Linked DNA regions of Mytilus edulis. The protein of the gene in region 1 interacts with the protein of each later gene in a pairwise test. Links are inferred from orthologs where the notes say so. Each region holds a gene or a part of one and is shown in the gene's direction. Other genes may lie near its edges.

Region 1 (8,002 bases):
TTATATATATCTTAAATGTATAACATTTGTGTTTAATCACTAAATCCTCTATAAAATTCAGACCAGTATTTTATATTACCCAGTATTGCACAGTATTACCCACTAAAACCCAGTAAAACCCGGGTTTTTCCAGTATTTACCACTGGGCTGGGCAAAACTCATAAAACCCGGGTTTTTGCCAACCCTTCATGTGCTTCAACGAAAACAGTGAAGAATGTGATAAGCTTATAAGAGAACTGTGCTTGAGCTTTTATACAAGTGATTTAACAAATTTTGTCTGAAGCAAAATAACAAAGGCGACCATGTGCTTCAACGAAAACAATGAAGAATGTGATAAGATACTGATAGAACTGTGCTTGCGCTTTTATGCAAGTGATTAAACAAATGTGATTGGGTGATAAATCAAGTTTGGTCTAGTGCAAAATGATAAAGGCGGCTATGTGCTTCACAAAACAAGGAAGTATGTGAGTAGAAAAAGGAGAAAAGTGCTGGTGCTTTCATGCAAGTGATTAAACAAATGTGATCGGGTAATAAAAATAAATTTGGTCTGGTGCAAAATAACAAAGGCGACCATGTGCTTCAACGAAAACAAGGAAGAATGTAATAAGATATTGAGAGAACTGTGAAGGTGCTATCAAACAAGTGATTTTTAACAAATGTGATTGGGTGATTAAACAAGTTTGGTCTAGTGCAAAATAACAAAGGCGACCCCTTGCTTCAACGAAAACAATGAAGAATGAAGCATGTTATAAGAGAACTGTGCTTGAGCTTTTATACACGTGATTTAACAAATTTGGTCTGGTGCAAAATAACAAAGGCGACCATGTGCTTCAACGAAAACAAGGAAGAATTTGATAAGATATTTAGAGAACTGTGCTATCATACAAGTGATTAAACAAATGTGATTGGGTGATTAAACAAATTTGGTCTAGTGCAAAATAACAAAGGCGACCATGTGCTTCAACGAAAATAATGAAGAATGTGATAAGATTATAAGAGACCCGTTCTTGTGCAATCATGCGGGTGACTAAAAAATGAGATCGGGAAATAAAACAAATTTGGTCATGTGCAAAATAACAAAGGTGACCATGTGATTCAAAAAAAACAATGAAGAATGTGATAAGATTATAAGAGAACTGTGCTTGTGCTATCATTTAAGTGATTAATCAAATTTGGTGTAGTGCAAAATAACAAAGGCGACCATGTGTTTCAACGAAAACAATGAAGAATGTGATAAGAAATTGAGAGAACTGTGAATGTGTTATCATACAAGTGATTAAACAAATGTAATGCGGTGATTAAACAAATTTGGTCTAGTGCAAAATAACAAAGGCGACCATGTGATTCAATAAAAACAAGGAGGAACGTGATAAGACAAAAGGGAGAAATGTGCTCATGCCATTTTGCGATTTTTTTTTTAACAAATGTGATTGGGTAATTACCAAATTTGGTCTGGTGCAAAATACCAAAGGAGACCATCGTGATATCGTGCAAGTGATTAAACAAATGTAATTGGGTAATAAAACAAATTTGGTCTGGTGCAAAATAACAAAGGCGACCATCGTGATATCGTGCAAGTGATTTAACAAATGTGATCGGGTAATAAAACAAATTTGGTCTTGTGCAAAATAACAAAGGCGACCATCGTGATATCGTGCAAGTGATTAAACAAATCTGATCGGTAATAAAACAAATTTGGTCATGTGCAAAATAACAAAGGCGACCATCGTGATATCGTGCAAGTGATTTAACAAATGTGATTGGGTGATAAAACAAATTTGGTCTGGTGCAAAATAACAAAGGCGACCATCGTGATATCGTGCAAGTGATTAAACAAATCTGATCGGTAATAAAACAAGTTTGGTCATGTGCAAAATAACAAAGGCGACCATCGTGATATCGTGCAAGTGATTTAACAAATGTGATTGGGTGATAAAACAAATGTGGTCTTGTGCAAAATAACAAAGGCGACCATCGTGATATCGTGCAAGTGATTAAACAAATCTGATTGGTAATAAAACAAATTTGGTCATGTGCAAAATAACAAAGGCGACCATCGTGATATCGTGCAAGTGATTTAACAAATGTGATCGGGTAATAAAACAAATTTGGTCATGTGCAAAATAACAAAGGCGACCATCGTGATATCGTGCAAGTGATTTAACAAATGTGATTGGGTAATAAAACAAATTTGGTCATGTGCAAAATAACAAAGGCGACCATCGTGATATCGTGCAAGTGATTAAACAAATGTGATTGGGTAATAAAATAAATTTGGTCTGGTGCAAAATAACAAAGGCGATCATCGTGATATATCGTGCAAGTGATTAAACAAATGTGTTGGGTAATAAACAAATTTGGTCATGTGCAAAATAACAAAGGCGACCATCGTGATATATCGTGCAAGTGATTAAACAATTGTGATTGGGTAATAAAACAAATTTGGTCATGTGCAAAATAACAAAGGCGACCATCGTGATATCGTGCAAGTGATTAAACAAATGTGATCGGGTAACAAAACAAATTTGGTCATGTGCAAAATAACAAAGGCGACCATCGTGATATCGTGCAAGTGATTAAACAAATCTGATCGGTAATAAAACAAATTTGGTCATGTGCAAAATAACAAAGGCGACCATCGTGATATCGTGCAAGTGATTTAACAAATCTGATCGGTAATAAAACAAATTTGGTAATGTGCAAAATAACAAAGGCGACCATCGTGATATCGTGCAAGTAATTTAACAAATGTGATTGGGTGATAAAACAAATTTGGTCTGGTGCAAAATAACAAAGGCGACCATCGTGATATCGTGCAAGGGATTAAACAAATCTGATCGGTAATAAAGCAAATTGGGTCATGTGCAAAATAACAAAGGCGACCATCGTGATATCGTACAAGTGATTTAACAAATGTGATCGGTAATAAAACAAATTGGGTCATGTGCAAAATAACAAAGGCGACCATCGTGATATCGTACAAGTGATTTAACAAATGTGATCGGGTAACAAAACAAATTTGGTCATGTGCAAAATAACAAAGGCGACCATCGTGATATCGTGCAAGTGATTAAACAAATGTGTCGGGTAATAAAACAAATTTGGTCATGTGCAAAATAACAAAGGCGACCATCGTGATATCGTGCAAGTGATTTAACAAATGTGATCGGGTAACAAAACAAATTTGGTCATGTGCAAAATAACAAAGGCGACCATCGTGATATCGTGCAAGTGATTAAACAAATGTGATTGGTTTGGTGCAAAATAACAAAGGTTTCCATGTACTGCAAAGAAAACAATTAAGAATGTTATAAGACAAAAGGAGAAATGTGTTATCGTGCAAGTAATTAAACAAATGTGATAGGATTACGGCAGCAACAGTTTTAATTTCAGTTGTGAAGGTCAAAGTGAATTTTTGTATGCGCCGACGAACATTTATTTTCAATCAGTTGGAAACTAAAGACAAACGTGTCTTTCTTATTTTACATGTTATGTGTTGTATTATTATATATAAACAATTAAGGGCATAATAAACAATTCTAGAAAGTAACTAATATGCAAAAACATTAGTGGTGTAGAATTTTTTTCATTTGTTTACTGTACGCAGAAAATTAATGGGACTATATTTATTTTATTATCAAGAAAGTATATATAACTGTTTGGGGGGGGGGGAGTGTTGTAGCAACCCCATAGCTGATTTTTTTTCAACAATTCTTGTGACATCATGTCAGTTCTATTAGCTAGGTACCTATACCTACTGTATACCGCCAACTTGAAATGTATAATATTAGCGGTACAAAATCGGGCTAGTGCTTTGCTTAAATCTGCAAATTCAACAGTTTATTTTGTTGTTGTCAAATTTATTTGCCCTGAAAAAAAGAAAAAAGAATATATTAAATATTTTTAAAAGAATAACAATTCACAAATAAAAAAAAGTCATATGAAATGTGAGAAAATTACATGGGTGCTGAGAGATGATGGGAATTTTGAAGAAAGATATATATGAGAAATTTATTGCATTGTTGAAACTGTTTTAGAAAAAAAAATATTGTTTTGTGTTCGAATCAATTTTTCAACATGCTGGCCATTTTTATGTGGAGATAAATCTAACATTTCTACTGAATGGTAAAATAAAGATAAGGAATTTAAAGATTTTTTTTTTACTTTTTCTTTTTCTTTACTAGATAAAGGTTTCGTTAAACTGTCTTTTATTTTTGTTTCCTTAAAGAATGTTATATATAGCCAGAAGTCCATTACTAGACGTCTAGTAGATAAAAATAGCCTATTTTCTCAGATTTTTCTTTTTTTCTTTTTCTTTTACTTAATTCACAAAAGTGGTAGCTTGAAAAATAGCCAATGCAGTAATGTGAAGTTTTTGATATATTATTTTTAAGTTGGTATGCTTAATTCTACAGATCGTCAATTATTTAAAATAATAAGACCAATGTATGTACTGAGATTCCGCCAATTAAGACGCACCCCTTGATTGACTGCAAGGGTACAGCGGATCCATGTACACTCCCTAAGGATTAATGGAGATGTGTCCTTTACAATATTATCCCACCACCAGAACAATCCCCACCCAACACCGCCCAAGGAAGCGTGTAGGACACCGGGAAGTCTGTTATTATGGTGGAGGAAGCCGAAGTACTCGGAGAGAACCACCGGGCCACTCGGTGGAAACAGACAAACCAGAGAGATATCAGAAGATTGATCTCCAGGTCAAAGTAGGGGACAACTTTGACCAACCGAGGCCCCCAAAGTACCCATTCTAGTTTAAACTCCGGTCTGGGTACCAGAGATGTGTGTGAGAGGGTGAAAATTACCCTTCTGATGTACTGATATTTTTAGCACCCCGAGTGAGAATCGAACTCGGGACCTTCAGCACTGTAGCCATCGGTCTTAACCACTAGACCACGAACTCACATGAATTTGTACGGGAAAATTGAATTATCTCCCTTTATAGCAAATCTTCGAATCATTAAGCACGTGACCATAATTTCCTAAAATAGACATTTTCGTCACAACAAAAACATTATTTGTCATTCTAGAAAACACGTATATTGTCTACTTTCGCGACAAAGGTAATTATAACTGATTCTAACAAAACAGAAGAACACAACGTAATGTAAGTCGGGTTTTATAACACGAAAGTAGAATGGTCAGTAAGTTGTTCGTCTTTTTTCTGTCATTTATGTGATGGAAAAAAAATGTGTTGTCTGTTGACACATTGACCTATTTGTTGCCAGCTGTTCAGCCATTTGTAGAAAAAGTAAACATTCCATTTCAATGAAATTTATTTTCATAAGCAAGAGAAAAACAATAAGATCATATGTGTTGCAACAGTAGGCTGTATGACTTTTGCCATCAAAGTCATGCAATTTGGAACAAATTAAGATTGTGGAAATAGTTTACCATAAACTAAATTATAAATATACTGGAAAATAATCATACAAACATTACATAATTATAAAGATAATGGTCCCTTTTAGTTTATCTTTGATTCAAATATAAGATTTTTTGACATTTTTATAGGGTACCAATACACCTTGTTCATCATTATTGCTATTTGAAAAATGTCCGAGTTCTTCTGTAAGTTTTCCAGTCTTCCATCTGAATAACAGATGACTCGAGAATCTGCCCCACTTGAAGTATTGACTTCATACAATAATCACTTCCATATAGTGGCATCAGATATTTTGTATTATGATGTCAAAATTTTACTGGAACCTTTGTGATGTCCAGTAATTAATGGTGGACAAATAGCAATAACTTAAAGGTGTATTATCGAACTGTTTCCTTTGAAGTTTACCTATTTGTATCACAAATTTACCCCTCTTGCTGTCAGTTGCTTTTTAAGGTTGCATTTTGTGTGCCAGAAAATATGACAGCTTAATGTCTTTAAAGTCACATGCCCAACAATGACATCATGCCCTAATAACCGTTACATTTTGGAGCCATTGACGAAAATATTACAGTTAAATCTTTTACATGTATATGAAAAATACACAGCAGTAATGAGAAGCCTGCATAAATTAAATCATTGACACATGTTTTCCTCCAGCACAGCCAGTGTGGACACATGTGTCCTTTCAGCAGCAAGATAGTTAAAAGCAATTGGAATCAGCATGGGTTTATAGACCTTATCCTTATTTGGGAAAACTGCAGTTGAATTTGTCATGTGACTTTTATCACCAAGTGACGAAAATGTAGGCATTGTCACTTCTAACACATTTTGAGCAAACAGATGAAAAGTTTGATTTATACTGTACAAAATATTTAGGAAATTAAAATCTAATAAGATGGTGACCCTCCCTCAGTCGTCTGGGAATCAAGATAACGTACTTACTGAAATTAAATTCTTCTATACAACCCTACAGAATGACGATTCTGAAAGTGCTGGAAACTTTAAATAGAGCAAGCATACAGACGCACCTTCTATCTGATAAATGATGTCATATACATGTAATGACTAATGGTGTGTGAAATTGGCAATCTTTTCTGGTGAAAGACATGATTCTAGTTTTTATTTTGCAAAAACTATCCTTCAAATTTCTTCAAAATAAAAACATTTCAAACATTTCTGATTAATCCTATTTAGTGAATTACACTGAGCTTTTGCATTTTTTGCTTACAGATAAATAATGAGATTTGGTATGGATGATGAGCCCGATGTAGACAAAAGTGATCAAAGTAAGTATAAAAAAGGGGTGAAAGATACCAGAGGGACATTCAAACTCATAGACCGAAAATAAACTGACAATGCCATGGCTGGCTAAAAAAGATAAAAACAAGCAAATAAATAGTACACAATACACAATATAGAAACTAAAGACTATGCAACAAGAACCATGCCAAAAGATATATTTTAAAAGAGGCCAAGAGGCTTGAGAACACTATCTCAATTCATATTGTTTACAAACACTTATAATTTCCTAAATGTACAAACATGTACCGGTACACTATCCACTTGAAATTTAAGTGCATGCATGATATGTGTATGATCTACATCTAAATCATTTGATCATATCAACTTATTATTGATTCTTGTTAATCTTTGGCCAAACAAATGTGCAGGGATGGATCCGGACATTTTCAAAAGGGGGGGAGGGGTCCCAATTTAAATGCATTGATCGTAAAAAAAAAAAGGGGGGGGTCCAACTCCTGGAACCCCTCCCCCTCTGGATCCACCACTGATGTGTATGAATAGTTTAGAGTATATCTATTGTTTGTCTTCATGAACTGATAATTACCAAACTTAAAATAAATAAAAGTGACCTTAATTCTGTTTTTATCTGTGAAAATTTCAAATTAATGTCTTCACAATGAACAGAATTAAAATAATTTAGAGTAATTTAAAAAATAAAAGAAGTTAAACCCCAACATTTAAAAGATGATTGGCAGATTTTTACCTTAAAAAGCAATGCAGTAACGCCACAATAAATATCAGTTTAATGATATGTCATCAGTTCTCAGACTGTTTGCTAATATTTGAATTCTTTACATTGTAAAATTATTAAAACTTTAAATTTACAAATATAAACAAAGGTGATACATTATCATGGTTATTGTGTAACAGTCAAATATATCTTGTCTGATAGCTTATTTTTATTTTGTTTATCAATTGACAAGATAAGTCATGTATGATTAAAATACTTCTTTATGTAATGATGTAAGGCCAAATAAAAATATATGTGTGGTTCCAGTAACCCTACCTTCCCTACTTTTTTGCCTCAAAAATAGCCTACCCTAAAGATTTTATTATCTTTTTTCATTAAGCACTGTTAAAGTCAGAATGTTGCTCCCATAGACTCAATGTAAAAAAAACCAACATAAAATAAAAAAAAATCCTCACCTACCTACCCTAACTTTTTTTCAGATGTAACTGGAACCACACAGACTTTTTTATTTTGCCTAACAAGACTTATTTCAAATTTTAAATCACTCTGGTAACCGAAAATTGTAGTATTGATTTCCTTCATAAAAATAAATACATGTATTT
Region 2 (7,665 bases), on another chromosome or scaffold:
CCCTCTTTTTTAGAGGTCGACTTGAACATGTACACATGTAGCAAGAGGTAGAATCTATATAAGGGGGTGCTATGCCAGTGCTTTGTGGGAAAACTTTAGTTGATTTATTGAGGGAAACAGTACTGAAGCGTCCATCTCTAAAGAAGTCATGCAGTGCCCTCCCTATCTCATCCCCCTTATGAAACTTCTGGATATTCATGTCTTATTCTTACAACTTTTAGGGAAACAACTTTCCCAGGTAAAAAAAAGGGGAAGCTGAGCGCTCACATGTTAAAATTGGCAAATTTGGTTGATTATATAGGAATTACTGAACCTTGGCTGGAACCCCCTCCCCCTTTATGAAAATATCTTAATCCGCCACTAGACTGTTTAAATAAATACTGTAACAGGGTAATTTATGAAGATCTTTTTTTAAGATACTTCAGATACTTTTATTTCACTAATACATAGGCGTAGCAGGCCCATAAATAATGGTACGTTTTTTGGCAAATTAGACATATGGGACACGGAAGTGTTCCGCCAGCGTCTTACTGCAGAGGGTATGGGAGCCGCTCAAGGCCCCCAGAAGCTCTGGGGTTCATAGCGTTAAAATCCTGCATTCTAGTCGTTTCCTGCCACTAAAAATCGTTTCTGAAAAGCAGCATTTTTTACTCGACAATTTGAAAAAAATCAAGTATATTAATGTCTGTGTCTTGCAGGTTTTGTAGTTTGTTTCCATTTTTGTGTCATTTACAAAGCATGCAATTATTGCGCAAAATTCATTATAAAAAAAAATAAAAGGCCAGAGGTTCCTTGCTACAAGTTAGGACAGGCGCAAAATTGCTGTAATGTAAACTTTTAAGATAACCACTTCGTCAGTAGGGGGTCGTCTTGGCCTTGTAAGTTATTTTTTTTTGAAAATCATGCAGCGACTGTCAAGATGAAGTACTTAAATAAATCACTATGTTCTTGCAATAATTTGCATCTTGTCTATTTGTCAAGAGTGTTCAAATTGGAAAAATGAATGTTACTAGTACTAAGGAAATGACATATTTCATTGATCTTCAATCAATCACATGCATGGCGACAATTTGTTTTTCAAGGGAACGAGTTCAATTCAACCACTATAAAGAACCCTTAGTTCATATAAACTTTAAAATCAGTAATTGTGATATAAATGTAACGCTAAACGGGTCTTTGTTCTGTGTATTTTGGACAGTCATTATTTTGGATATATGTATCTGGGATCTAATCCTTCTTGCCCGTTTACATAAGGAAATAGCTATTAAATATTTCACCATATATATATAGACTCACTACCGTCTATATACTAGTAACGAAGTCTGTTTAATGTTCACATGTTTAATCATATAAAAGTACATGTATATATATGATATATTTAAAAGGTTCACAGCCCAGGTTCACAGTTATAAATTCCAATACAAAACGTTACTTAGTTCCAACTCTATAAAACAACATGTTACTTCATTATAATCTATATCGCAACTTAATTGTTACTTCAAGCTACTACACCAATATAAGTGATCAATGCAAAGTTTCTTACAAAATCGTGCTATGAACCGCTGTCCTTAAATTACATTAAACCTTGCTTTGATAAACGTCCAAATGTTATTACAATTCTACTATGCAACTAATGTACCGTACATGCAAACTGTCACATTTAATATTAATCAAGATGAAAGATCATTCAACAAATTAAGTATAATTGACCATCAAATCTTTGATGTAGTTGACCACGCCACATCAATGTTAAATTTGTGAAGTGTAAAATATTTACTCGCCTATGTATATGTATATAATATGTAGTTTCCATTTCTCGTTTCAGCATTTTATTTTTCAAACATTGGCTATACCTTTCATGTAACTATTTATGTGTTGCTTATGAATTTAATTGTAACACTTCTTAGTGACTGGTTAGGTTAAACCAATGCCTTCCTAGAAAACTATGACACCAATGAACAACACCAGTCTTTTTGCTGTTCCTGCTAATAATGTATGCATGGCTTCACTAGAAAAGGCATCAATTCTTTGGCTTTCCTGGTTGAAGGATTTGTTTTTACAACTCCAGTGTATACACAATTGTTACCATAGTATATAGTTGGTTGACCGTTATGGAATAACCGTTTCATAGATGATATGGGATATGTTTCTCACGTCATAACTACAATCCTCTTCCCTTTTCATGAATTTGACTTACTGTATAAAGCTAGTTAAATCGGGTTTGTAAAAACATGAGCAACCCGACGGTGCCACTGTTGGACATTTGGAGCAGTATCTGCTTACCCTTCTGGAGCACCTGAGATCATCCCCAGTTTTTGGTTAGGGTTCGTGTTAATTGCTCAGACTGTGTTTGTTTTCTATGCTGTTTCTTGTGTACTTTAATTTGTATATTTCATGTCGTGGTGTTATCAGTTTATTTTCGATTTATGAGTTTGCCTGTTCCTCTGGTATCTTTCGCCCCTCTTGAAGTCTATAACTTAGAGAATGATGAAAAATGATAGTTTTGCAATTCAAAATATGAATACAATATAAGGCTGGTTAGAATGCAAACCAATCAGCTTGCTTAATATCTAATAAGTGCCACCAAATATGCAGACATTTAAGACTGGGGCAAACCATACACAATAACACAAGCTTACTAAAAAACAGCTTGGTTTCACAATACTAGAATGTATGTAAAACTGCAATTCAATAAAACATAGATTGGTATACAAGCAATTAAAGCTTGTATGTATCCATGCAAGAAAAATAAGCTTTCACCGTACACCAGTGTTGCATGCAAGAATACCGTGAACTGAAAATGTCAAACAAATATGCAAACTTTTATGTTCCAAAGGGTATAGGATTATACGTTGGTATACCGACAATCAAACCCATGAATTCCATTGTTTTACAAGGGTTTATTGAAAAGCGGGTTAGTATACGGGAATTAACCCCTGAGTGTTGCAGTTAAGAATTAAGAGCTTTCTTTCAAATTCAAATGAAGTTGAAGGCTATACATAAGTAATTCAACCTTTTCATTTCACAATCATACACATCTCCTTATTTTCTAAGGGAGGTATGCAAACATAATTAAATAAGAAATGTTACTACTCAGTAAATACTTAGCATTCAGGCATACAGACTTGCCAATACAAACATGAATCCAGAATAAAATTTTAGAATCCATGAAGGCATACAAGTACCTAGCAGAAAAAAAGCCAAAATAAATTAAAAAAAAAATCGGTTTACATATCCCAGGTTCGTATACAGGCATACAGACCTTAACTATGCCAAAATAAATATATTAAAGGTTCTAAATACACCAGATTTGTATGCAGGAATACAGACCTGACAAATACTTATATACGCAGAAAGTGAGAGTTTAACATACACCAGGTCGGTATGCTAGCATACAGACCTGACAAATACTTGTATGTACATAGAGTGAGTTTTTAACATACACCAGGTCAGTATGCTAGCAAACAGACCTGACAAATACTAGTATATATGCATAGAGTGAGAGTTTTGCATTAACCAGGTCGGTATGCTAGCATACAGACCTGAAAAATGCTAGTATATGCATAGAGTGAAAGTTTAGCATTAACCATGTCGGTATGCTAGCATACAGACCTGAAAAATACTAGTATATGCATAGAGTGAGAGTTTAACATACACCAGGTCGGTATGCTAGCATACAGACCTGACAAATACTAGGATGTGCATAGAGTGAGAGTTAAGAATTAACAGGTCGGTATGCTAGCATACAGACATGAAAAATGCTAGTATATATGCATAGAGTGAGAGTTTAGCATTTACCAGGTCGGTATGCTAGCATACAGACCTGAAAAATACTTGAATATGCATAGAGTGAGAGTTTAGCATTAACCAGGTCGGTATGCTGGCATACAGACCTGACAAATTCTAGTATACACATACAGTGAGGTTTTAGCATACACCAGGGTGGTATGCAGGCATACAGACCTGACAAATACAAGTAAGAGAAAAAAGACTTAATTTAGCATTCTTTTCATTGAAACATCTGAAATAAAGATGGGTAAATGCTATGTTATGTATATATTTCAAAAATGACATAAAAGTATAACAAAAATGCAGAATGAGTATCTTTTTAAGGTTTATTTACTTGAACTATTTCCTTGGTGTTAAAATAGTTCATTCTAGCATCCTATGAAAAAGGTTTATGATAAAATGATGAAATTTTGGTTCGCATTTACAAAGAAAGATCACAAATCTTGCCAAAAGATGACAAACAAATATTGTTAATGCTATACAGTGAGTTTTTAACGCGAAATATATCAATAATCCCAAATGTTGTAGCCTTTTCACACAAAAATAAGTTAAGTGGCATATGAGAATTTCTAATTTTAGATGAGAACGTGTTCAAATGATGAATACTTTTAGCTAAAGATGAATATTGGATGGGGGTTCTGTGTATTTACATTATTTGTACAACTCTCCTTACTGATGCCATATTTTGGAATTTCCGTGACCTAAATGGTTCGCGAAAATTAATATTTTTTATATATAGTATAGTAATAGTGGTGGGCCGAGTTTGTTATAGTCCGAGTTAGCTTTAGGCCGAGTTATTCAGCGGCGTATCCTAATACCAAATAACGACTATGATTTTCTCTGAACCTTGGGTTTTACGTCATAACCAGCTGATGACAGATTGAAAAGTGTTCGCAGTTAGATACACACAATATTAGTGGTAACATGCCTGAAAGGCAGTATAATACGGCCGAGGGGGCTAAAACATTCAAACAGAGAAAGAGTTTTTGTAAGTACACGATACAGCAAAATATAAAAATGCCAATACAGTAATCGAGTAATGACAAAGTTTTCCCAAGTTATGACAGGTACATTACAGTTCATCATAACAAACGGACAAATATGGCTGTATTTACATGTCAAAAACCTGGGTACAGACTTACCTGTGAAGTTGGAAATGTTTTCATGCATGGCATCCACTAGATATATTAAATTTAAATGCATAATTTTTGTGTTTCAGAAAGATCTCTTTTGGATTTTGATGGGCATTTTTTTCCCTTCATGCATGAGGTGTGAAAATTAACTATTAAAGTTGTGGTACAAGTTTGAGTAGCTGTGCCGCAAATAGTCAAAAAATAACATAAGGACCTAAGAGCTACGGTTCCGCAGCTAAAGTTTGAGATGAGCCCTTCAGGTAAAAACCGGTTTGTATTGTTTTGATTGTCCTCAATTGACATGGACAAGAGGTATCTTCACACAACTACAGGTGAATTATTCAGTTAAAGAGTTTATCTGAGTCAGTGAGTGGACAGTATCAAAGCTGAGACTACTATAACACATAGTAGTCTCAGATCAAAGTTAATAAATTCAGGTGTTTGTTTATTTTTACACCTTCTGCAGAAAAAAAAACCCCATCAAAAACCAATGCATTTAACTTTTATATATTTAGTGGATGCTAGGCCTTAAAACTTTCCAAACAGCACAGGTAAGTCTGTACACGGAGAAGTTTTTGAGGTGAAAATTCTGCCATATTTGTCCATTTGTTATGATGAACCTTAAAGAGTAGGGGAAAAACTAAGAGAAGACATGGTTATCGATTATTTGGCCATTTTCAAATATATAAATCTTGAGTTTCATTTCAAGGAATGTTAACACCATCAAGACAGTGTCTATTCAGAGACATGTATTTATGTCTCTGGTCTATTCTATTCTTTCCATTGCCAATATTTTATTAGTATTGACAGAAATCAAGTGCCTGTGCTGTGACCTAATACATGCCTAATGTAAAAATAGGATAGGTATTAAGGACCCAAATAGGACCTACATGTACTGAAAAATAAATGAAAATGTGCAAAAAAGTTATATATAAATACATGTGTGATACATGTCATTAAGAATGTAAACTCAATGTCATATGACTATCCCAAATTCTACCAATCATGCCAATAAAAATCATAGGAGGTCAGTAAAATGAAAGTCAAATATCAGCATCTTAAACGAAGTTGGAATGAATTTTACAAGTTTCTTTAAACTTTGAGTACATATTGTATCTCAAAAAGTCAGCAGTTTAATATATGTTTTTGAATTAACAGTTTTAAAAAGTTTGTTTAAGCAAAACTAATGTTAAAGCATTTGCTCAGACTTATTTATTTGATAGACAAATTCAACACTATTATGCCATTGTGACGGGCTTTGCCAAAGATTTTGTTGAATTTATGATAATGGTCTCACAAAATATTAGTACATTGTAATTTGTACTAAAAAAAATACTAAAGCATAAAGACATCATTACCTCAAAATGGACTGGTGAGGGTCTGGATGGTATGCAGAATAGAGAATAATGTGCAGAACTTAATTATTGGAATTCAGCTGCATATACATTTTCTCCAGACAAATGCTCTAGAATGGGATAAACTGAAAAAAGATACACGTCAACCACAAATCCTGATCATGTTCACATATTCTGAATAGAAACAGCTACAAAACATTTATGGGTATCCCGGTAAACATACGATCAGACCTCAAATAGAATACCGGTAACAATGAAGATAATATCAGATTGAATGAAAGATGACAGCTGAATATTCTAAAGCAATGTTTCCTATCCATGATTCCTGGTAAGGTTTGTTCATAGAAAAGGATGGATTTATGGCCTCCCATAGAATAATATTTGAAGGTTCAATAACTTTCTTATCATATTGATCATTACATAATAAAGTGGAGGGAGTGAACCTAGTTCCAAGAAAGATACAAGCTTGTCGTTGCTCTAAAGCTCACAAACCAAAAACACTGTAATTTTGTTCATTAGTCATGTTAATCAGTACAGTGTATGTGTTTTCATAACTTTAGTTTAAGTGAATAGAAATCTATGAAATTTAGACACAAGGTTTATGACCACAAAAGGAAGGTTGGGATTGATTTTGGGAGTTTTAGTTCAAACAGTTTAGGAATTAGGGGCCAAAAAAAGGCCAAAATAAGCATTATTCTTGGTTTTCGCACAATAACTTTAGTATAAATAAATAGAAATCAATGAAATTTAAACACAAGGTTTATGACCATATAAGGAAGGTTGGGATTGATTTTGAGAGTTGAGGTCTGAACAGTTTAGGAATTAGGGGCCAAAAAGGGGCCCAAGTAAGCATTATTCTTGGTTTTCGCACCATAACTTTAGTACATGTATAAGTAAATAGAAATCTTTGAAATTTAAACACAAGGTTTTTGATCATAAAAGGAAGGTTGGGTTTGATTTTGGTAGTTTTGGTCCCAACTGGTTTTTAGGGATAAGGGGTGCAAAGGGTCCAAAATTGAACTTTGTTTGATTTCATCAAAAATTGAATAATTGGGGTTCTTTGATATGCCGGATCTAACTGTGTATGTAGATTCTTAATTTTTGGTTCTGTTTTCCAATTGGTCTACATTAAGGTCCAAAGGGTTCAAAATTAAACTTAGTTTGATTTTAACAAAAATTGAATCCTTGGGGTTCTTTGATATGCTGAATCTAAAAATGTACTTAGATTTTTGATTATTGGCCCAGTTTTCAAGTTGGTCCAAATCGGGGTCCAAAATTAAACTTTAGTATAAGTAAATAGAAATCTTTGAAATTTAAACACAAGGTTTATGACCATAAAAGGAAGGTTGGGTTTGATTTTGGTAGTTTTGGTCCCAACAGGTTTTTAG

What was found.
Region 2: the proteins of tax1-binding protein 1 homolog B-like (region 1) and microtubule-associated protein 1 light chain 3 gamma-like interact in binary tests that used the Homo sapiens proteins (3 or more experiments, as listed by UniProt). The link is inferred for Mytilus edulis from reciprocal best matches to the Homo sapiens genes TAX1BP1 and MAP1LC3C.

What each region holds. Positions count from the first base shown.
Region 1 is NC_092345.1:32,307,551-32,315,552, reverse strand, and holds the start of tax1-binding protein 1 homolog B-like, read left to right. Parts: upstream 1-4,976; 5' UTR 4,977-5,084; exon of another isoform or gene 5,085-5,128; intron 5,129-6,637; 5' UTR 6,638-6,644; coding exon 6,645-6,693; intron 6,694-8,002.
Region 2 is NC_092346.1:23,188,357-23,196,021, reverse strand, and holds the start of microtubule-associated protein 1 light chain 3 gamma-like, read left to right. Parts: upstream 1-4,585; 5' UTR 4,586-4,713; coding exon 4,714-4,777; intron 4,778-4,813; exon of another isoform or gene 4,814-4,828; coding exon of another isoform or gene 4,829-4,856; intron 4,857-7,665.